Linked DNA regions of Canis lupus familiaris. Each later gene encodes a partner of the first gene's protein in a complex. Links are inferred from orthologs where the notes say so. Each region holds a gene or a part of one and is shown on either strand. Other genes may lie near its edges.

Region 1 (7,560 bases):
TCCTCGGCTACTGCTACCTGCTGCACTTGTATTTGTGAAACTGGTTTGGAGGGCCTGGGGAAATGAAGCAGCCAGAGGCCCCAGAAAAAGAGGAAGGGGGATGCGGCAGATTTCGACACCAGCTGTGGCAGGCTCTAGGGAACGGGGTCACAGAGCATAGGATGGTGTCCATTTCTCTTCACCTGCTTATTGTCTGGCTCCCTGAGACCCTACCATGGAAGGTGCAGAAAGGCATGTGACAAGACAGCTTTTAGTCCTGGCAAGAATGGGGAAATCCGAAGACAGTGTTTCGAGCAGGTTTTATTATGCTGGGGATGGGGGAGGAGAACTATGTCATGTTTATGACCCTTTCTCTCTCCTGCATCCCTTCAGATGGCATTAGTTCTATTTTTGTTCCAGAAGACTGAGAAGGAAGGTAACTTTGTTTCTGAGTCAGTTGGGTGATGAGAATGCCCCCCCCCCCCCCCCCCGCCAAGCTTGATACTGGTATCAAGGATGGGGACATGCTCAGAGGGGCTGGTAGGTGGGTGGGCGTCTCCTGATAATGCAGAATGTAACCAGCGCCAGGGCGAGGAGGCCGAGTGAGATCACGCCGACGATGAGGGGCAGCAGGTTGAAGTGTTCGCTGGGACAAGAGAAACCTGGCAGAAAGGGAGGGCGGGCAGGCATCAGGGTGGTGGTGGGGCACAGGTGGGAGGAGGATGGGAGGAAGGCGTGGGGGGGACATGGGGAAGTAGAGTGATGAGTGCCCTCGAAGCTCCTAGGGAAAGAGGGCAGAGTCCTGCTGAGGAAGTAGGGCAGTTGCCCTAAAGCTACAAGGCTGAGAGAGAAAGGAAAGTTCAAGATCTCATAAAGGAGGCGGGTGGCCGTCAGAGCAGTGGGAGCCTTCTAGGAGGGAGGACTAGTTCTTACTTGGCCCAAAGGCCCCTGAAGGGGGCAGCTGAGCAGCCTGCAGCTTCAGGTGGAGCAGGTCAAGGCGCAGAGCTGGCGTAAGAAGGATGCTTGCATTTCTGCAGCTGAAGCTCTGGCCCAGGGGGGCTTGGAGAGCTCGGAGGGATGCGTTCTGACCTGAGAATGTCCACTCTGAAAGAGCGAGGAAGGGTCAGCTCTGGAGCCTTGTCCCCGCCACCCCGATTTAGATCCCCTTTCAGGAGCCCGGACATTCAGGGCAAGCGACCCGAGGGCGGGTGACTCACGCGCCGCCTGCGGAAAGGACACGTTGTACTGCAGAGCCAGGTAGTCGAGGTAGACTGAACCCTGCTGCGGCTCCTGCGAAGGCGACCAGGAAGGCTGAGAGTGGCCGGAGCCCCCAGCACAGCAAAGGGTGGGGGGATAGGGGGACACGAGGGGGCCGGGGTGGGGAGGTACCTGTGTGAACCCGAAGCTGAGCTGCCCGAAAGGGAAGGAGAGAAGCAGATGGGGGCGGGCCCCGTCACAGTCCCCCCAGGGCTTGGTACTGTTGGGGTTCAGCACCGAGATGCCCCAGGCCTGTAGCGGTTAAAAAGAGGTTTTGAAGGCTGCAGCCGCCCGGGGTTCCCTGTTTCCTCCATCCCCTCCCTGCGTGCCCCCTTCTCTCTTCTTCCTTCTGCAGTGCGGTGAGCGACCTCACCCCTGCCCCCACGGGTGGCTCTACCTGGCCTCCGGCCTGGGTTGGGTACACAACCCCGATCTGAATCCGGGCTTGGAGCCGGGCGCAGGGCTGGGAACCCGTAGTCCAAGTGTAGTCTCCTATGGCGTCCTGGGGGCCAGGGCCGGGACTGGGAGGTGGTGGCCTTGGCCCTGGCCCCGGCTGGGTGTAGCTGGTGGAGGTGTGGGGTTTGCCGGTGCCCGTGGTGCCCGTGGTGTTGCTTGTGCTGTTGCTCGTGGTTGGGTGAATGGTGGTGTTTCTGTGCCCCGGGGTTGTCGGGGCCTGGTGAGTGGTGGTGTTGGGCGCATGGCTGGTGGTCTCCGCGGTGGTGGTGCTGTGGCTGGTGGTCCCAGGGCTTCCTGTGCTCTCTGTAGCCGTAGGGGTCACCGTGAAGGAGGGCAGCAGGGTGGCCGACTTTTTATGGGGACAGTCGCTCCGGGTCCCCTGGGCTTGGAGCAGAGGGGAGGGTTGGTTAGCAATGGGGCAGTGTCCCCCTGAGCCCCTTCCCCTCGGGCCCCCCCTTACCTGCTAGCAGCCCCACCAAGGCCCCCAAGAAAAACACGGCTGGCCTCATAACCGATCGGCCTCACCCCAGTCGGTGCGGGACGGTGTGTTCAACACCAGCCTGTAGCCTCTGCCTTCTTTTGGAAGAGGAATTAAGTGTCTGACTTCCTGTGGCAGCCCAGTCCACCCCCAGCCTGACTCAGGCACCTCAGCCCCAGCCACCAATCACTTAGTCATTGAACCCGTCACCAAGTGAGGGGATGGGTCACCAGCCTCAATATCACAGGTAGATGCGGAGTTTGGGGACAGTTGGTCCTTGCGGACCTACTTGTCTACTTCAGCCTGTTTGGTGGGCCGGAGGGGTTACAGAACCAGCGGGGAACAGCACCCCACCCCTTGCTTATGTCCTCCAGTTCTAGGGGTTAAGTGTTTCTATTCCCTCTTTTCCATTTGTCACTTCCTCTTGACAGAACATGTGAGGCACTTATGATGGTGCTTGCGTCTTGGCCTTTAGAGTGGGTCACTAGCCAACAAATGCTACCCCACTAGCGGGTCAGCAGGGAGAGGATAACAAAAAAAGGAAACCCAAGGGAAACTTGAGGGACTATGAACTGGGGGTGGAGTGGTGGCCCCAGCCAGGGAGGCCCTGGGACACAGGTGGGAGGGAAGGGGAGGCAAGAAATGAGAAGCCCAAACAGGCAGTTTCCAAGTCATTTTATTCAGAATTTTGTGTTTGTTTTCTGAATCAATAAATACTATACAAAACAATGTAAAAATGGCTACCACTTTTTCTCCCCTGCTCCCCCCCACCTGGGGACAATCCTCTGGGCCATTTAACTCTGGGATTCTCCAGATTTGGTCCAGCAAATGAGGTTGAGTGACACTATGGCCCCTGGCAGCCTCTGAAGAGGCACGTAGCTGGGGTGGGGGAGAGCCTCTGGGGTTTGGAGGTTGACTAGGTTACGGAGATGGATTAGTGTTTTTGGGAGAAGAGACGGCGCCTGGAGCAAGAGCCTGCCCCAAAGAAAAGGGTGTCTAAAATGTTCACGTTCCTTCTTTTGCCTCAAAAAGTGACATTTATTCAAAGAAAAAAAAAAGGAAAAAAATGACAAGATGTCCATCCCTTGGCTCCCTTCCCTCCCCCCTCCTGCTCTTCTGCCCCCCCCAGACTGAGGCCAGGGTCAGGCTAGGTAGCAGGACCACCCCTCAGATGAGGTCAGCAACATTGAGGGGCATTTCCTCAATGGAGGTGTTGTAGAAAGTCTCGATGTCTCGAAGAGTCCTCTTGTCTTCTTCTGTCACCATGTTAATAGCCACACCCTTCCGGCCAAATCGTCCACCACGGCCGATTCTGGTGAGAATAGGACAGGTTCAGTCTGGCTCAGGATGGGGGCAGGACAGAGCCTGAGCTCAGGGCTGGGGGAGGGAACATTTTAGATCTGCACTTACCTGTGGATATAGTTTTCCCTGTTGGTAGGAAGGTCATAGTTGATGACTAGAGACACCTGCTGCACATCGATGCCTCTGGCCTGGGTCGGGAGAGGACAGGTCAGCAGGAGGAAGGGTGGGGGACCAGTGCGCGTAGCAGGGACCGCTGTGTGTGTAGGCAGCCAAAGGGAAGGCAAAGGAAACAGCAGCCCCTCTTCCCAGCACCCTGAGGCATGTCACATTTTATTCCAAGTTGCTACTTTCCTGAGGGGGGCACAAGCAAGCCCCCTGGAGAGGGAATCAGCTTGGGTCCTCCCTCCTTCCCAGGGTTCTCCATTCCCTACTCACCAGCAAGTCAGTGGTAATCAGTACTCTGCTAGAGCCCGAGCGGAACTCCCTCATGATAACATCTCGCTCCTTCTGGTCCATGTCTCCGTGCTATAGTGGGGACCAGAGGGGAGGGCGCGTGTCACAGGCGCACAGGCTCGGAGGCCCAGGCACACGGGCACTACGGGGAACAAGGGAGAGAACGCACCATGGCAGACACGGTGAAGTCTCGGGCGTGCATCTTCTCGGTGAGCCAATCCACCTTCCTTCGGGTGTTGATGAAAATGACTGCCTGTGTGATGGTCAGAGTCTCGTACAAGTCACACAGCGTGTCCAGCTTCCACTCCTGGGAGGGGGAAGGAGATCAGTGAGGGGCTCTACCCAGGGATGTACAGCCAGGCAAGCCCCCCCCTGCACCGGGCCCCACCTCTCGCTCCACGTTGATGTAGAACTGGCGGATGCCCTCGAGGGTCAACTCTTCTTTCTTGACCAGAATCCGAATGGGGTCCCTCATGAACTTCTTGGTCACCTCAAGCACGTCAGAAGGCATCGTGGCAGACAGCAAAACCACCTAATGGGAAAGAGCAGCCTTGGGGTAGGGGATCCTCCAGGCTGGCCCCCCCTCCCCTAGCAAGCAAGTAAGTTGTCGCCTAATGCAGAAGCTAGGGCATGAAAAGGCTTGAGGCCCCCGGATTCTTTGTGGCTCCTGCAGCATGTGCTGCTGCTGTGACCCCCACCACACAGCCACCTACAAAGGAAACCTTGACCGCCCACTAGAGTCTGTGAACCCCTTTCTCACCTGGGTGTTGCTGTTGAGCTTTTGGAATATGTCATAGATCTGGTCCTTGAATCCACGGCTTAACATCTCATCAGCTTCGTCCAGTACAAACATCTTGATATATTTGGGAGCTACAAGAGGAGAAAACCCCAATGGACAGTAGTGAGGGAACCAGGAAACCAAACTTCAAGTTCCTGATCGAGAACACTAAGGAACAAGAGATCTGCTCTCAGGATACGAAGGCTGATCCTTTGCCAAGACTCCCACACGAGGCCAGCTGACAGGCCAGGGAAGTAGAACACTCCCCGGGGCTGAGGACGGGGAAGCCAGGCTCAGATGACACGCATGGGCTCATCACAGAGCAACTCTTTCCCAGGTGCATGCTAGCCCGTCAGAGGAGGACACTGCGAAGGGGGGGGGGGGGGGGGGAAGGCACGAGTGGGAGGGTTAAAGAGGACAGCCAGACTCACATAGGTATCTCCGGTTCAGCATGTCAAACACACGACCCGGGGTGCCCACGATGATATGAGGAGCCTCCATCTGAAGCTTCTGCACCTCAGCACGTACATTGGTCCCCCCAATGCAGGCATGGCAGGAAGCACCCATGTAATCTCCTAATGCCATGACTACCTTCTGTATCTGGACTCAGAAAAAAAAAAATGTACCCAATTATGAGCTATGATCAAGGCAGGTCCCGTTTAAGATGCTTCTAGTAAAATAAAAAATAAGTAAGTAAATAAATAAATAAAATGCTTCTAGTGTTCTCTCCAACTCAGACGTGCACCATTAAACTCACTTTTCAGACAAGAAACAGGCAGATACTTCACTTAAGATCACACTGCCAGTAAGTGGCAGGCTCAGGATTTGAGCTTGGTCTGGCTCCTAAGAATACAAGGATTCACACTAACAGCCCTTTCTAAAAGCCATGACGACCCATTGATTTGATCTCACTCCAACTAGTTTTATGAATGGAAGGCCATCTACCCGTGTCCTACTGAACTCCTGCCACAGAACCTGTGCTAGGTGACACGTTCGCTTTTTTTATTTTTTTTATTTTTTATTTTTTTAAGATTTTTTTTTTTATTTATTTATTCATGATAGTCACAGAGAGAGAGAGAGAGAGAGAAGCAGAGCGAGAAGCAGGCTCCATGCACCGGGAGTCCGATGTGGGATTCGATCCCGGGTCTCCAGGATCGCGCCCTGGGCCAAAGGCAGGCGCCAAACCGCTGCGCCACCCAGGGATCCCCGTTCGCTTTTTTTAAAAGAGCATGTTCTGCACATACATTAAGGCCCTACTGAATTCTTCCAGAACTCTTCACTTACAGTACCTTACCTCAATTCACCGATAAGCATAGAATCATCCTAAACTCACCATAAAACTAATATCCTACTTATGAGACTAGCATTTCTGACCCTTTCTCCACCAAGACCCAAGAAAGGTCTCATTAAAATTTTATGTGCCCTAGGCATGAAACAGCTCTGGCCACCAATCCAGGCATCAAGCTAGGATGAACACAGGACTGCCCGTCTGCTTTGCCCCTGGCTGATATAAGAGCACCACCACCACCAAGGTGTCTCTTTGCCCATTGCCAGGGGGTTTGTTCATAAAACAGCCACCAAACTTGCCCAGCCAGCCAGGCTCCACCTTGCAACCTTTTCATTTGACTCAGGAAATGGGTGGAGAAAATAATGCTTATTGTGTTTGGGTAGGAAAGACCTCGTAATTAATCCTAACAAGCTCTCAAACATCCGGAAGTCCTCAACTTATTTCTTTACACAGTCCCCACCCCCCCAACCATTCAGTTCTTAAATAGATAGTGGTCCTGAGGAACACACATCTATGCTTTTTTTAAGGACCACATTTCTAAAGCAGTCCTTCAGGGGAGGAACAAAAAAGCCTACATACTCACCTGCTGAGCCAACTCCCTAGTGGGTGCCAGGACCAAGGCCTGTGTAGCCTTTAGATCCAATTCAATTTGTTGCAGAATCGATATGGCAAAAGTGGCTGTTTTCCCAGTCCCAGATTGGGCTTGAGCGATCACATCATAACCTAAATAGATCGAGAAAAACAAGACATGAGAATACATACATTTCAGAGTCATGAGATGTTCAAGGCTTTACTTTACCCACAAGAAGCCGATGGAGCCATGTGCCAAGCATGACGTGCTCCACAGACTTTACCCCATGACAACAGAGTGCCCACACAGAACATTAACTCATTCAGTACTGCACAAAGCTCAGAAACAGGTACCAGCAGAAATCAAACCAGCCATGCATGTGGCCAGGGCATGAACACAGACCAAAAGCCAAGCCTGGATAAACAAGGAGTTGCTCGGTCCCCGACTGATAGGAGACAGGCACCAACCAGATACCACTGTACCCAGTTTAGGGACAGCCCAGAACCTGTCCTGGGACAGGAGGCTTACCCTTGATACAAGGAAGAATGGCTCGCTGCTGGATGGCAGAAGGCTTCTCGAAACCATAAGCATAGATGCCACGGAGAAGGGACTCGGAGAGGTTCATGTCATCAAAGCTGTCAACAATCTCATTCCAGTTACTCTGTAGGACAGAGAAAAATCACAGTAGTCAAACGGGGGTCTGTGTTCTCGCAGAACAGAGGGCACCTTGGTACCAGCCCCAGAGCTGCAGATCCCTGCACCTCTCCTCCCTCTGGGGAAGCCAGCTGGCTCTACCCGGCCTGGGCAATCAGTGAGGGCCAGTCCACTTGTGAAACCAGAGGCTAAACAGGGCAGGAGAGGAGACCAGACTCCTCCGGCAACCTGGTTCGTACAACCCAGGACGTAGATACTTTATACCAATCATCGAAAAGGAATGAGAATTGGGGAGAGGAAACAGGAACAGGTTCCTGTTAGGGGACAGGAACCACCCCTCCCGA
Region 2 (7,429 bases), on another chromosome or scaffold:
CCCTTCAGGGTTTGACCCTACATGGGAGAACTTCAAGAAGCCCACAACTAAGCCCTGGTGAGGAGGAGCAGTGCCTCAGGTGGGCACTCTCAGGGGCAGTGTGAATTTACCGAGTTGTTAGCAATGTTCTGTATCTTTTTTAATTTAAAGATTTTATTTATTTATTCATTAGAGACAGAGAGGCAGAGACACAGGCAGAGGGAGAAATCGGCTCCCTGAGGGGAGCCCAATGTGGGACTCTATCCCAGGGCTCCAGGATCACGCCCTGAGCTGAAGGCAGGCACTTAACTGCTGAGCCACCCAGGTGTCCCAAATGTTCCGTATCTTAATGAGGAGGGTGCTTACATAGGTATATGCATTTACCAAAACTCATCAATTCCACAGTTGTGCATTTTCTTGTATATAAATTATACCTCAACTTATAAATATCTTGTGAAAGCTGTATTTAAATTTTAAAAAGAGGGTTGCGTAGGCAGCTTAGTCGGTTAAGTAAGCATCTGCCTTCCACTCAGGTCATGATCTCAGGGGTCCTGGGATCAAGCCCCACATCGGGCTCCCTGCTCAGCGAGGAGTCTGCTTCTCCCTCTCCCTCTGCCTCTATCCCTGTTTATGCTCTCTCAAGCTCACTCTTTCTCAAATAAATAAAATCTTTTTAACAAATTTTAAAAAGGAAAAGAAAAAAGAGAAATCTATAGATCCAAAAGCTTAAAACCCAGAGCAACCAGTGGAAATTTGTGACAAGGATCCCGATTCTGATATCTGACAAAAGTTTTTTCTGAGACCTTGGAGAAATTTGAATACTGACCAAATATGCAGTAATCTTTAAAAAAAATTAGGATTTTTTTTTGCACTATAATTATTTTTTAAGAGCTCTTTGAGAAATACATGCTAAAATAATTATGGACGGAGCCATTGCCCTCTAGTTCTTGTTCACAGCACTCCCGTGTGAGTGGGTGGAGGGGGCTGGCTGGGGCCAGGGAGAGTGCTGATGGCTGTTGAAGCCCATGATGGGCACGCGGGGATTCGTTATACTGGTGTCTGCTTTTGTACGTCTCTGGTTTCAAAAATAATAAAAAAAACTGTTGGTGTATTTGCATTTTAAAAGTCCTCGCTGGTTTTGAATAGGAACGTGCTCAGCAAGAGTGTCTCTCCAGGAAAAGTGTGCTGGTACGTGGGGATTTGTACTGCTGAGCCCTTGGGGAGGTAACTTTGCCACATTGATGAGTGGGGCTGGAGAACGGAGGAACAGAGGCAGATGCTCTGCTTTGTTTACTTTGCTCAGAGTAAGTCATAGGGAGTCTCAGAGGTTTGTTTTTGCTGTTGGGGGAGCACATCAGGTCACAGGAGCACTAAATATTATCTGGAGGGCTCCATTCAGTGTTGCAGGTGTGTGCCGAGGAGGGAGGTGGATTTGTGGGGTCACCTGGGAGGCCCCTTGCCTACAGAGCTGGACAAGGCCACTTGTGCTACTGATTCTCAGACACAATACCCGCTCACATATTAGGAAATGTGGGTTCTGGTCTAGCTGCGAAGTTCAGAATTCTTAGCTTGGATATATGAATTAAAATTCAGGTGATCTCAGGTCACCTGGGTGGCTCAGTGGTTGAGCATCTGCCTTCGGCTCAGGGTGTGATCCCCGGGTCCTGGGATCAAGTCCCCAATCGGACTCCCCAAAGGGAACCTGCTTCTCCCTCTGCCTATATTTCTGTCTCTCCTTCTGTGTCTCTTGTGAATAAATGAATAAAATCTTTTTTAAAAACATGGGCAGCCTGGGTGGCTCGGCAGTTTGGCGCCGCCCTCGGCCCAGGTTGTGATCCTGGAGACCTGGGATCGAGTCCCAAGTCAGGCTCCCTGCATGGAGCCTGCTTCCCTCTGCCTGTGTCTCTGCCTCTCTCTTGCTCTGTGTCTCTCATGAATAAATAAATAAAATCTTAAAAAAAAACAATTTAGGTGATTTCTAATGTCTTACTATGAACAGTTTTGCCTCCCTCCACATTTTTTTTAAATCAGAGGGTCATTGTACTTTCCATAGTGGGCCGCGTGCATCAGAGTCTCTTGTGGACAGGTCGGTGGGGATGTCAGAAACGCCCACCCCTGGGGGCTCATCAGAGATGTACAGAATTGTCTTATGGCAGCAGGTGCTTAGGAATCTGCATTTTAGCAAATATCCCAGCCCATTCATAACAGTAGAGTGTGAAGAGAACTGTTGTAGAATCTATGGTGGTTCCTTTTTTCCTAATTGCCTCAAAATACAATCAGTATTTAAATTTCTTTTCTTCTGAGGAGGTAAGCAATTTCAGAGCATTAAAAAGAGTTATGATCATATTCTTATATGACATTGTGGGTAGGTTTAAATTTATTTGTATTAATAACATATTTATAATGCATACTTTAGGAAATCAACACAAGAAAAAAATTGTAACAATCTAGAATTCTTTAGCCTTAGAAAAGCATAAACAGGTTTGCTGTGTGTCCTTCCAGACTTTTTCTAATATATATACATGTAAATAGAATTTCGCCAAAATAGGTTTATTTGCCCCAAGCAATTTAATAACCTGTTTTTAAAACTCACACATTATGCTTTTCTTTCTGTGCTAAAAATGTCCACCTACATCAAAATTTTTCTTGGCTGCATAGAATTTATTTATATAAATGTGCCAGAGCTTATTTCACCAGTTTCTTGTTGACATTCTGTGATATCTCCCTCTTTCCACTGTTTTACTCATGGAGACAATGAAAATCCTTTTGTATCTTTTTGTACGTCTTTAGGATAAAATTCCTAGAAGCAAATTGCTAGTCAAAGGATTTTCTTAGTTTTTAAAATGATTTTGAACACAGTTATTATTTGCTCTAAAAAAAAAATGTCGGGACACCTGGGTGGCTCATTGGTTGAGCATCTGCCTTTGGCTCAGGTCAAGATCTTGGGGTCCTGGGATCAAGTTCTGCACAGGCTCCCCACGGGGAGCCTGCTTCTCCCTCTGCATATGTCTCTGCCTCTCTCTGTGTGTCTCTTATGAATAAATAATAAAAAATGTCAAATACAGGGACAAGTTAAAATCTCCATAGCTTCCAGATAACTTTTTTATATTTTTTAATAGGATCACTTATGTAGAATCTTATTACCTGCTTTTCTCATGCCATACATTGTAAAAATCTTTCCGTGTCAGCCACATTGGAAATATCGTGATATTCTTATGACATTAATTATATGCACTTAACTAATCTGATTCTTCTGCTTTAGTCAGGGAACAAGTACTAAGTACCCAAAATACACAAAAGCCTTCTAGTAGCTGTGAGAAGAGAAAGTTGATTCGAATGGTTTCGTGCCCTCACAATCCTTACAGACAGAAGGGCGTCTCAGGCAGTCCCATGAGTCCTCTAGCACTTTGTCTTCCAGATCCTCTAAGAGGGTCTGAGAGCTGGCCTGGGAGAGGCAGGGGAAGGAAAGCCATTTTTAGTTAGGTTGGGGAAGGCTCAGAAGAGAGGGTGATGGAGGGCTTGACCCCACGAAGGTGGGGAGCAAGAAGTGTTCCCAGTAGAGCAGCAAACCCTGAGACGTGCTGTCAGGAAGATGAAAGACCCCCACCCTCAGCATCCCATTCCTGGGGAGAAAGGCAGTCCTGCCCACCAAGGGGACCCCAGGTGTAGTGGGAAATAAAGGTGGAGAGGTAACGAGATGAGCCAGCTTGTGGATGGTCCAGAATATGTGGCCAAGTAGTGTGGGTGGCGTTTCCTGAGCAGAAAGCAATGTTTTTCAGCTTTGCACAAGTCTGTTGGAGCTGGATTGCACTGGGATTTGTGGGGCTGGGGTATCACTCTGCAGCTGTGTGTTTGAGAGGCTGTGGTAGAAGAAGAGGGCCATCAGGATCCCGCGCTGAGGGTCCTCCCCGGGCTGGGCGGGGGCACCAGGCGCAGAGAGAAGAGAGGGAGTGGACGGACAGGCCTGGGCAGACCCGGATGTGGAGACAAAGGGAAGGGTAAGGGTCAGGAAGGCCTTGGGGTGGGGTTTGGGTGGCTTCCATAGGACTGCCCTATATGCAAAAAAGAAAACAGGGAGAGGGCACCTGGCTGGCTCAGTGGTTGAGCATCTCCCTTAGGCTCAGGTCATGATCCTGGGGTCCTGGGTTCAAATCCTGCATCGGGTTCCCCGAGGGGAGCCTGCTTCTCCCTCTGCCTGTGTGTCTGCCTCTCTCCGTGTGTGTCTCTCATGAATAAATAAATAAAATCTTAAAAATAAATTTAAAAAAAGAAAACAGAGAAAGGCACTTGAGAAAATGAGGAGTTGCAAAAATATTTTTTAAAAATTTGTTTAGCCCGTTTTGTTTGGCCCTCCGTCACATGCTTCTGCACCTTCCTTCCTGACAGGAAGTTTGGAACACACCTGTAGGTGCGGAGGCCTTCCGGCAGGAGCTCCATTCAGCAGTCAGGCGTCGCGGCACGAGCAGGCGGTGGGGCCCACGGAAGGGAGACCCCCGGGCGGCCAGGACGCCTTCCCCCCTCAGGAGAGCACGCTGTCCCCCGTGAACCTGACGGACGACCAGATCGCCGCCGGCCTCTATGGTAACTTCCCCCCTCAGCCCTTCTCGGCTAGGGGATCCCGGGACCGGCGCTGCAGTCCATGGCCGAGTGCCTCATAGATGGACCTGGAAGAGCCATTAACCTGAGAAGTGTTAGAAAGGTTGGCTTAGAATATCTTTTAAAAAGATGGCTACAGAGGGGAGTGGGCCGTCCCCTGAAGTAAACTCCTCAGATTTTGTAAGTTGTGAAATATTTTATTTTATTTTTTTAATTTTTATTTATTTATGATAGTCACAGAGAGAGAGAGAGAGAGAGAGAGAGGCAGAGACATAGGCAGAGGGAGAAGCAGGCTCCATGCACCGGGAGCCCGACGTGGGATTCGATCCTGGGTCTCCAGGATCGCGCCCTGGGCCAAAGGCAGGCGCTAAACCGCTGCGCCACCCAGGGATCCCTTTTTTTTTTTTTTTTTTTTTTTTTTAAAAAGTTGTGAAATATTTTAAATAGCATTTCACTCCTTCGCTGTCTGGCAGGCATAATTTTTCCCCAGATTATCTCAGCTGGAGGAAAAGAACAATTACAATCCCTATTTTTGTGCCTTCGTGGTTTTTGAGGCCTCAGTGAGATACGACTTCACTTTAAAAACAGTGGAGCCTGATTTAAACACTAGTTGTCACTGCTTTTGTTCTGTCTAGAAGTACTAATGGGGGGGGGAGTTTCCCATTTAAAGAACTGCAGATTATTTTCTTTACACGCATACATCTTTCCAGTGGATTCTGGGCACATTTCTCATATGCACGTGCCACGATCTATCCTAGATTTACGTGAATGAGAGAAAAAAAAATGAATGTGAGGAAAAAAAGATTTCTTGCTCCCTTAACTTGGATGGGTGTGAATTGTGTTCATTTTGCTCCGCTTGATTCCCCTTTTCGCAGTATGTACAAATAGTGAAAACACACTCAAGTCTATCATGAAGAAGAAGGATGGCAACCGAGATTCAAATGGAGCGAAGAAGAATCTCCAGTTTGTCGGCATTAATGGAGGGTAAGGAAAGATGGCCCACCAGCGGTCTGTATGTGCTCTGTCTGTCTCCTGGGCCTCCTGTCTTCTCACGTCCCACTCAGAGGGGCCCGGGATGGGCTGCAGCCACATCTTGGTGACGGATGAGCCCCTCAGAAAGGTGCACTGGGCTTCTCTCTTCTCCTCTCCATGCTGTCTCTAAGGATATGCCACTCTCGAAAGGACACCTGGTGACGCTGAGCGGTTGGCATCTTCCCGCCTCTGGTCTGAAAATGGTAGTCTTCAACAAAAGCCGCAGGCAGCAGGTGTCCTGCGGTGTTGGACAGCTTGGTCTTACCCGTGTCAGACTCAGAAACCAACAGAAAGAGGCGAGAGCATCTCTCCACGGGCCGGTGACGGGCATCCACTCCTTCAAAATGGGTTCTTTGGCTTCGCTCTCCATGCCTACGTACAAAATTGTAGGTCCTGTCCCCTGACCCATAATCTGGCTGTGCCGTCAGTGGTTTACCTTCTAACCAGAATGTTTGATTGGCTGTCTATTCCTTCTCATTGGGCCACATAAATAGTTAAGCCTGTTTGCCCTCCTGCAGTTGAATCAGAGCAGCTAATCTGTTAATCTGGACACGGCCTCGGCCTCGACACGAAAGCAGTGATGCAGTTAGTTGAGATAACGTTGATAGCAAAGCGTACGATTGACATTTAACTTCATGGGGCCTATTTTCTGAATCTTTGAAGCTTAATTGGGTAGCGTGGCCCAGGAGGTTTGCGGGGAGCGGGACATGTACCAGAGGAACTCTTGATTACTTATGTAATCTGTTCACTGGTAATCTGTTCATCATGACACTGGGACGATTAATGGAGCAAAATAGGAAGAATGTAAGGGGAAAAAAAAAAAGGAACAGAAAAAATGAACCACTGCAGACTTGGCTTTCGTGAAGTAAGTTTCCTTTGACCTGCACTAAGCCAGACATGCTATATATATGTATTTCTTTTTTCCTGCAAGTAGTATAACGATACCAATTGGCAACACATGTTACCCCTTTCAGGTCAGAACCCATTCAAAGCCACCATATTTTTAAATAGACCTTCCTTTGAACTTCTAAATGCAGAGTCTAAAGCCACCGGTCAAATGTCTGGAGTCTGTTAGCGGCTTTCCCTGCGTAAGAATTTCTGTCCCGGGGTCTTTCTGGGCGCACCTTGCATCTCCTGAACTCCCAATTGCCACCTAGGTATGAGACAACTTCAAGTGATGATTCCAGCTCGGATGAAAGCTCTTCCTCCGAGTCAGATGACGAGTGTGATGTCATTGAGTTTCCTCCTGAGGAAGAGGAGGAGGAAGAGGAGGAGGAGGAAGACACCCGGGGAGTGGCAGAAGGGCAGCATGCAGTTAATATGGAAGGTTTCAAGTCCGCCGGGGCGGAAGATGAGATGCAGGTTCCAGAATGTGAACCTGAGAAGGTGGAAATCAGAGAGAGGTGTGGTACCCTCCCCTTCCCTCCCTAACCCTTCCCACTTTTCAATGTCCTTTGGCGAGAGAATTAGCCGATTCGGAGATTTTGCAGCTGTAACTACAGGTTGGGTCTCTCCCATCCCCAAAGGAGGGTACGTACGCAGAGGCACGACTGTCGTGTCGTGATGCTGATAAATACAGGTGCAGAGGGAGGTAACTCTGAGATTTCCCAAAGAGAAGGGCCTAATCAAGCTGTCACCTTTGTTGCCTTTACATTTGTGTGTTAGCTCATTTTAACGTGCAGAGCCACCGCCCACAGAACTGTCCTGTGCCACGATGGTCTCCAGTGTTTGAACAATCCCGCTTAGACTTGAAGGCATGTTAGAATATTGTGTGGCCGGCGCATTTCTTTCGGGTTTCAGATTTTATCATCAGCCATTTGTC
Region 3 (7,429 bases), on another chromosome or scaffold:
GCATAGAAAGAAAGATGTATTTATCCTATTCTACAAAATTGACTGCTTTTCTGATTACTTCCAGAGGAAAAGGTAAGGATATATGGATAAAATCTTGAATTTTCAAAAATAAAATTATATTGAATTAAAAGCAATTGACATACTTTTTAGTTTTTTTTTTTTTTCCTTTTTTAATAGGAAATGCTAAGAGATTTAAACCTTGGTGAAATGAAGAGTGGGGTACCAGTGTTGGCAGTGTCCTTGGCATTGGAGGGAAAGGCTAGTCATAGAGAAATGACATCTAAGCTGCTTTCTGACCTTTGTGGGACAGTAATGAGCACAAATGATGTAGAAAAATCATTTGACAAATTATTGAAAGATCTACCTGAACTGGCATTGGATACTCCTAGAGCACCACAGGTTTGTATGGCTCTTCTTTTTATTCATTTTCTTCCCCACTACACTTCCAATTATAGAAATAATTCATGTTCCTAGGAAATTTTAGTAGATAAAGAGGACAAAATGACCTGTATTTTTTACCACACAAAAATAGCCCTCTGACATTTTAGTATATTTTTGTCTAGCTGTTTTTCTTTTCTTTTTCGTTTTCAAACACAGTTTTCATCATACTATAATTTTATATTTTGCTTTTCCACCCATGCTCTGTATAGTTTGTAGTTCATTGCTTTTGCTGTCTTTATATTCTCTATTATATGTGATTAAGCTATTGTATGAGCTAGGATTTCAAAAATATGTAGATTGTTCTAATTGAAGATTGAATTGGCTTGAGTGATGTTTACTATAAAAAGAATCATAAAAAAAAGAATCATAAATAAGTCTGTTCTCTTTTATAGCTTTGTGGGGAAATTAGAAAATTCATGATTTATGTTGCTGTTTAGATTCTGTCCTCAGAGCCTTATATTTTTATTAGATTTGATACATGCTGATACTATAATGTGACTTTCTGGTTTGACAATGAAAATGTGTGAAATTGCTGCTATTGACCAAAGTTTTAAATCAAGGTAGGAGTTTAATTTAGGAATAGAGTTATAGGTCAGTTAATTCTGTTTCTGTTATACTTTCCTATGACTGATGGTAGTCTGTGTAAGGTATTGAGCTATGATTCAGGTATGGACTTTTTTTTGCTTTTTATAGCAATACTCATATTAAAAACCTGATTACATAAATACATATTATAGAATTTTTGAAAAATAAAGTCAAAAGGAAGAAAGGCCAGCAAAAATAACCATTGTTAACTATTAACATTTTGGTGTTAAATCTGTTTTACTTTCTGTGGGTATGATTTTTCATGTATGATTTTTATATATCCTTGTATTTTTTGTTTTAAAAATGAAATTATACTGTATGTGCTATTTTATAAACTTCATTTTTCTTACACCATAAAATGCGGTAAATGTATTCCCTAATGACCACATAGTATACCATCTTATGTATCATTTAACCATACCCTTATTGTTGGACACTAGAGTCGTTTCTAATTTTTGTAAGCAATAATGCTATGAAAAGGAGTGCCTGGTTGGTTCAATCTGTGGAATAGGTGACTTTTGGTCTCAGGGTCATGAGCTCAAGTTTTACATTGGATGTGGAGCTGACTTTAACAACAACAAACATAAATAATTCTATGAATATACTTTTAGATAGAAACTTCTACACAAAGTTTTCTCCATACAATAAATTATTTTGATCAAAGAATTTTTGAGAAAACCTAGTCCTATGTTTTTGTTTGATTCTAGAAGAGAGTTTTCTCTTGAATTTAGGCCATTGGCTTAACAAATATTTTTGACTATACTATGTTTCAGGCAGGTATTGGGAAATTCAGTATTGAGCAAAACTGATGTATGTCTGCCCTATGGTACTTATCTTGAAGGTTAAGATGTGGGAGCATAAGCCAACCATAACTAGCAGGTGCTAAATTGATGTCTTTGAATGTTCCGACATGTCTTAGATATTGACTGTGTAATTCAGTCAGTCTTCATCATTGGTGTGTTTAGAAATTGTGTCCTGTAAAGGTTTATTTTAGGGTGTTTTATATAGCTTTTTTTTTTCTTATTGTAGTTGGTGGGCCAGTTTATTGCTAGAGCTGTTGGAGATGGAATTTTATGTAATACCTATATTGATAGTTACAAAGGAACTGTAGATTGTGTACAGGCTAGGTAAGTAAATTAATTTTCCTACTTAGAATTTCAAAAGGGGAAAATTCTACAGGATTTATTGAAATGATATTTGAATTAATCAGACATTGTAGACATCTGTCATTTGTGTGCATTCTCCACTGCTAAAATTGAGAGATTGTTGACATGATATTAACAGGAAGAAGATATATTATAATGTAGAAGTTTGGGATCTTAGCTAAACCATCAGCTACCTTTATGTCACACCTCTCTTCCCTGGGCCTCAGTTTCCTTATTTATAAAATGGAAGATTGCACTGAGAATATTTAAGGTCTGTTCAAGATTTTACGTTCTGTAATTATTTAATATTCTGATAAGATGGATAGTATTAACAAAGGAGCCCTATTTCCTATTTTATATTTATCTGCTACAGCAATATTAGGAAATAGTGTTTTTTCACTCTTGGTCTTTGGTATAATTTAAGCTAAATGTAATATTTGGGAGTCATCTGTATGATTTTTAGAATTTTCTAGAAACATAGATTTGGTCCTAGCCATGTATTAGATCTTAGGTATAGATCTTAACTTAATTTTTTAGGACTACGCAGATCAGAGTACAATGATTGCCCTGGTGGGAAGGCGTAGATCTATGTAAAAGTTAAGTTTTATGCAAAATGTTTTTTCTTAGTATAATTATTTTGTAATAAGTTTAGTTTTTTATGACTGAGAAATAAAAATGAGTATGAGAATAATGAAAAAAGTAACTTTTTTTTTTTTTGCTCCCAACTTTTTATTTTAAAAAGTTGCTTTTTAAAAGACTTTTGAGTTTTAGGTTGCTTTCATGTTACATGAAAACTTTTAGGGATGCCTGGGTGGCTCAGCGGTTGAGCATCTGCCTTTGGCTCAGGGTGTGATCCTAGGGTCCAGGTTCAAGTCCCACATCAGGCTCCTTGAAGGGAGCCTGCTTCTCCCTCTGCCTATGTCTCTGCTTCTCTCTCTGTGTCTCTCATGAATAAATAAATAAAATCTTAAAAAAAAACAAAAACAAAACTTTTAAATCAGCCTCAAACATGTCCAAGTTGTCACAGATATTTGTTGTTATTGTGTGTGTGTGTGTGTGGTTTTTTTTTTTTTTTTTTTTGATAGAGCTGCTCTGGACAAGGCTACTGTGCTCCTGAGTATGTCTAAAGGTGGAAAGCGCAAAGACAGCGTGTGGGGTTCTGGAGGTGGACAGCAGTCTGTTAATCATCTTGTTAAAGAGGTAACTACTGGGTATTGTCTTTAACTTAATTTACATGTATTTCTTTAGATAAGTAAACTATGCCCTCTAGCTGGCATTTTTGCAGAGAAAAATTAAGTTCAGGCTTAAAGCTACTGATGGAAAATTGGATAACCTTCATATATTTGGCTTTATATCCTGGTGCTATAAATTATACAATAATTATATAATTGTTATTAAATTTTTATGGTTTCTGACTTAAAAGTAAGACTAAGTTAAAAGGGCTTTCAAAGGAGGGCTGTATTTGAACCTCAAAGGAATGCCTGAAATCCTTTTTATATTGATATTTAAAATTTTTCAGATACTGTCAAAATAAGACTTCCTAAGTTATTCAATAAAGAACTATATTTTTATATATGAATAGTTTGAAACTGGATACTCTTAGATCATAAGTGATGAATTATGAACACTAGGGTAGATCAGAGTAGTAAATTTTTGTAAGGAAATTCACTACTTGTATGCATGCTTTAAAAGTAAAAATTATTTATTGCATTAAAATGCAAGATTTATTATCTATGGATTTTTTTTCTGGCAATAAAGTAATATTCTGTAACAGGAAACGAGAAAAAGTATTTAATCTTTTTGCAGATTGTTAAGAAAATTAGAAGATTTATAGCTCATGTGCTTCTGATTTTTTAGTATAATCTTTTCATGTGACTAGAGTTTTGATATTTAATCTTTTAATGATATGCGTTTCTAGTTTGGGGGTTAAGGAGCTGAAAGTACAGATTTTTGACCAGTTTGCTTTTCTATATCTTAAGGTAGATAAGCTGGTGTTTGTAATATCATGATCACAATATTTGCTTTTAAAAAATTTTTCAAGTTGTTAGGAAGATTGAGGTATAAACACAGTCAAGATATCAGCAGTTTGTCAAAATTACATAAAAGGCATCTAGATGGGAAAGGAAGAAGTAAAACTATTTGTTCTGAGATGACATGATCTGTATACAGAAAATCTGAATCTACAAAAAAAAAAAAAAATGAAAACAACCAAACTGTCAACAAAATAAATGAATTCAAGGTTGTAGAATATAAGATCAGTATACAATATTCAGTTCTAGTTCTGTACACTAGCAATGAATGATATGAAGTGAAATTAAGAAACAGTTGCTTTTACAATAGAATAAAAAGAATACTAAAATGCTTAAGAATAAATTTAACAAAAGCAGTGCAGTTCTTGTACACAAAAACTGCAAAACATTGTTGAAATGAATTACACCTAAATAAGTAGAAAGATATCCAAATATCCTGTGTTTATGGATTGGAAGACATAATATCGTTAAGATCATAATGGTCAGAGCACCTGGCTTTCTCAGGTGGAGGAGCTTGTGACTCTTGCTCTCAGGGTTATGAGTTTGAGCCCCATACTGGGTGTAGAGATTACTAAGAAAAAAAAAAACTTAAAAAAAAAAAAAAGATGGCAGTACTCCCCTAAAATTAGTATTTTGAGAGACTGCCAAACTATTTTATGTGAATTATCTCAACCAAAAAATAGTCAAGATAAAAGTTGAAATAAAACTACCAATAAAGGAGTGTGAGGTTGACATGATCTGGATTGTCATTTATTTTTACATGGGAGGATAGTTGGACCAAGAGGACTTTTAGAAATGTATACATGTTTTTATAATTTATCATTCTAGGGCACGTGGGTGGCTCAGTGGTTGAGCATCTGCTTTTGGCTCAGGGCATCCTGGGATCGAGTCCTACATCAGGTTCCCCATAGGGAGCCTGCTTCTCCCTCTGCCTGGGTTTCTCCCTCTCTCTCTGTGTCTCTCATGAATAAATAAATAAAATATTAAAAAAATAATTATTCTAGAAAAATGCATGGAACCCGATAGGAAACATTTAAATACTTTAAGTTGCATAACAAAGTTATAAAACTATAATAAGTAATATAATTTAAATAATAAATGTATTACCTTATAATTATAAAATAAAAACACTTTAGTCAAATGCCATGCTTTAAATATTTACTTTCCTAAAGCAGGATAATAGGAATTATTAGGATGTTTTCTATTGATCAAATTTTATTTTACCTTTCATGAAAATACATCGCAGGAGTTGAAGTCAAAGAGACTTAAATGAGATTATTTAACAGCCTGCATTCATTGAGCATGTACTGGGTGCAGAGGTGATTTTAACAGGCAGTTAAAACTATAGGGAAGAACATTCTGATTGAAGTGCTTGTGCTGGAAAACTTTTTCACCTTTTCTCTGGAGTCATAGAGGTTATTGTGTTTGAACAAGAAAGTCAAGTCTTGCCTCTTTAGCTACAACTAGAAGCAGAATTGCTGATGAACATCTTAGATAATGGGTTTCAAATCCTTAGCTGTAGAGAAGAGAAAGTATATAAACATTTTCCTCTGTATAGTAAAGCTCTATTATCATCACTCATTTTTTGGCTGCTAGTGCACTGTTTAAGGTCATCCTGATGGAAGTGAAAGTTTGTGACACTTTATTAAAAATATATTTTGAGACTTTCAGTCAGTGCCCTCTAGTGGTCTTTAAAATCCCTTGTTTTATAGTGAGCACTGAAGTACTATGGTTACAGCGCAAGCCACGTACATCTAAAGACTACTAGATCTCAGTGATCATTAAGACACACTGAAGCACTGTATTCTCTTTATAATTATGAACCACTTAAAAATTGGAGGTTTACTTTTTAATTATGAAAAAAACTTGTAATAGTGTCAAGTCTCTATGTTCTTACACAGCTGTTTGTAATCTGCTTTGAGAGTAAATAAATCATATAGGCAAAAAGCAGTTCTTTTTGGTAAAAATTAGGAATTTTAGGGGTGCCTTGGTTACTTAGTTGGTTGAGCATCAGAATTTTGGTTTTGATTCAGGTCCTGGTCTGGCATTTGTGGGATGGAGCCCCACCACAGGTTCTGTGCTGGGTGTGGAGTTTGCTTCAGATTCTTTCTCCCTCTGGCCTTTGCCCCTCTGTGCCACATGTGCATGGGCACGTTCACACTCTCTCTCTAAAAAAATGAATGAATAAAATCTTTAAAAAATAAAAATTAAGAATTCTAACATTTCAATTTTTAAATTTGATAGATTGATATGCTGCTGAAAGAGTATTTACTCTCTGGAGACATATCTGAAGCTGAACATTGCCTTAAGGAATTGGAAGTACCTCATTTTCACCATGAGCTTGTATATGAAGTAAGATTACTGTGACATTCCAAAGAGAATTATTAAGTGTTCCTTTTTGAACCATCATGACTGAATGCTTCTTTAGGAGTATATGTCTTTTTTTTTTTTTCCTTTTTTAAAAAATTTAATGTTCAGGGAGTAAGTTTTTAAAAAAATTTTTGTAATGATTAAAATTACATATCAGACAAAAGTGATCTGATACATTTTAGGAGCAGTTTCTTACATGAATTAATGACCAAACATTTGTTCATTCAATTTTTAGGCCATTGTAATGGTTTTAGAGTCAACTGGAGAAAGTACATTTAAGATGATTTTGGATTTATTAAAATCTCTTTGGAAATCTTCTACCATTACTCTAGACCAAATGAAAAGAGTAAGTATAACATTTTGAATACTTTTTAGACTTACACCTTAAATGTCAAGTGTTTGAATAAAGATTATGAGTTGTCAATGAAATGTTCTTTTAGGTATGTTTAATAGTACTGTTTCTATAGTGTTGTTTTTTTTGTTTTTAGTGGTTGTGGTTATTTGACCTCTTGTAGCCATTTCTTGGAACGTAACACTTTATTGGGTTTTTTAACTTTTTTTTTTTTTCTTTTTTTTTTAAGATGTGATTGTTCTTCCTCAGGAGTTCTGCTTTTAAGTTTTATGATAGTTTCTATTTTATATCTGGCAACAAACATGAACATGATCTTTTAACAAATATACTTTAAAGCATTTAATTTATTCATATTGGTGAGATTCTTGTCTTACATTTTTAAAAAGTGTGGTAAGTGTATATAGAGAAGTAGATAGTGAAGAAATATGTCCAATGTCTGAAATCTACCTAAACTCTTTTGAGAGAACAGTTTTAAAGAAAATATACATACTGTCTATTTTTCAAGG

Evidence for each region.
Region 2: the proteins of EIF4A1 (region 1) and KANK1 are in contact, whole or in part, in a crystal structure (PDB 7DDX), measured with the Mus musculus proteins. The link is inferred for Canis lupus familiaris from reciprocal best matches to the Homo sapiens genes EIF4A1 and KANK1. Residues at the interface, in NP_659207.1 of Mus musculus: Lys99, Val140, Arg141, Val144, Gln145, Lys146, Leu147, Gln148, Met149, Glu150, Ala151, Arg168, Arg169, Tyr170, Ser172; in NP_852069.4 of Mus musculus: Gly1168, Asn1169, Asn1171, His1175, Tyr1176, Val1178, Asn1201, Lys1202, Ala1203, Tyr1205, Met1209, Leu1210, Leu1213, Ala1214, Ala1215, Gln1240, Ala1241, Leu1248, Ser1251, His1252, Arg1254, Asp1273, Glu1274, His1285.
Region 3: the proteins of EIF4A1 (region 1) and PDCD4 are in contact, whole or in part, in a crystal structure (PDB 2ZU6), measured with the Homo sapiens proteins. The link is inferred for Canis lupus familiaris from reciprocal best matches to the Homo sapiens genes EIF4A1 and PDCD4. Residues at the interface, in NP_001407.1 of Homo sapiens: Gln75, Thr109, Arg110, Glu111, Ile135, Gly137, Val140, Thr158, Gly160, Arg161, Asp164, Glu186, Leu188, Ser189, Arg190, Gly191, Phe192, Gln195, Ala214, Thr215, Met216, Pro217, Glu240, Leu241, Thr242, Asn280, Thr281, Arg282, Arg283, Thr329; in NP_055271.2 of Homo sapiens: Pro170, Gln173, Glu174, Glu177, His178, Glu183, Glu186, Met187, Asp190, Leu209, Glu210, Lys212, Glu249, Leu250, Leu252, Asp253, Thr254, Pro255, Arg256, Gly320, Gln321, Gln322, Ser323, Val324, Leu327, Glu348, Lys352, Glu355, Val356, Pro357.

The regions. Positions count from the first base shown.
Region 1 is NC_049226.1:32,704,422-32,711,981, reverse strand, and holds the end of EIF4A1 (eukaryotic initiation factor 4A-I), read right to left. Parts: intron 7,224-7,560; coding exon 7,091-7,223; intron 7,059-7,090; exon of another isoform or gene 6,938-7,058; intron 6,715-6,937; coding exon 6,575-6,714; intron 6,263-6,574; exon of another isoform or gene 6,118-6,262; intron 5,304-6,117; coding exon 5,135-5,303; intron 5,028-5,134; exon of another isoform or gene 4,890-5,027; intron 4,796-4,889; coding exon 4,686-4,795; intron 4,458-4,685; coding exon 4,314-4,457; intron 4,233-4,313; coding exon 4,095-4,232; intron 3,998-4,094; coding exon 3,908-3,997; intron 3,871-3,907; exon of another isoform or gene 3,730-3,870; intron 3,661-3,729; coding exon 3,581-3,660; intron 3,483-3,580; coding exon 3,338-3,482; 3' UTR 2,830-3,337; downstream 1-2,829. Other genes in the region: CD68 (macrosialin), read right to left, coding at 508-641, 913-1,083, 1,197-1,269, 1,369-1,488, 1,634-2,076, 2,153-2,201. UniProt on the Homo sapiens protein: ATP-dependent RNA helicase which is a subunit of the eIF4F complex involved in cap recognition and is required for mRNA binding to ribosome.
Region 2 is NC_049222.1:90,275,758-90,283,186, forward strand, and holds part of KANK1 (KN motif and ankyrin repeat domain-containing protein 1), read left to right. Parts: intron 1-4,365; coding exon 4,366-4,560; intron 4,561-5,450; coding exon 5,451-5,559; intron 5,560-6,764; coding exon 6,765-7,010; intron 7,011-7,429.
Region 3 is NC_049249.1:22,441,258-22,448,686, forward strand, and holds part of PDCD4 (programmed cell death protein 4), read left to right. Parts: intron 1-177; coding exon 178-399; intron 400-2,055; coding exon 2,056-2,153; intron 2,154-3,256; coding exon 3,257-3,371; intron 3,372-6,445; coding exon 6,446-6,553; intron 6,554-6,806; coding exon 6,807-6,917; intron 6,918-7,429. UniProt on the Homo sapiens protein: Inhibits translation initiation and cap-dependent translation. May excert its function by hindering the interaction between EIF4A1 and EIF4G. Inhibits the helicase activity of EIF4A. Modulates the activation of JUN kinase.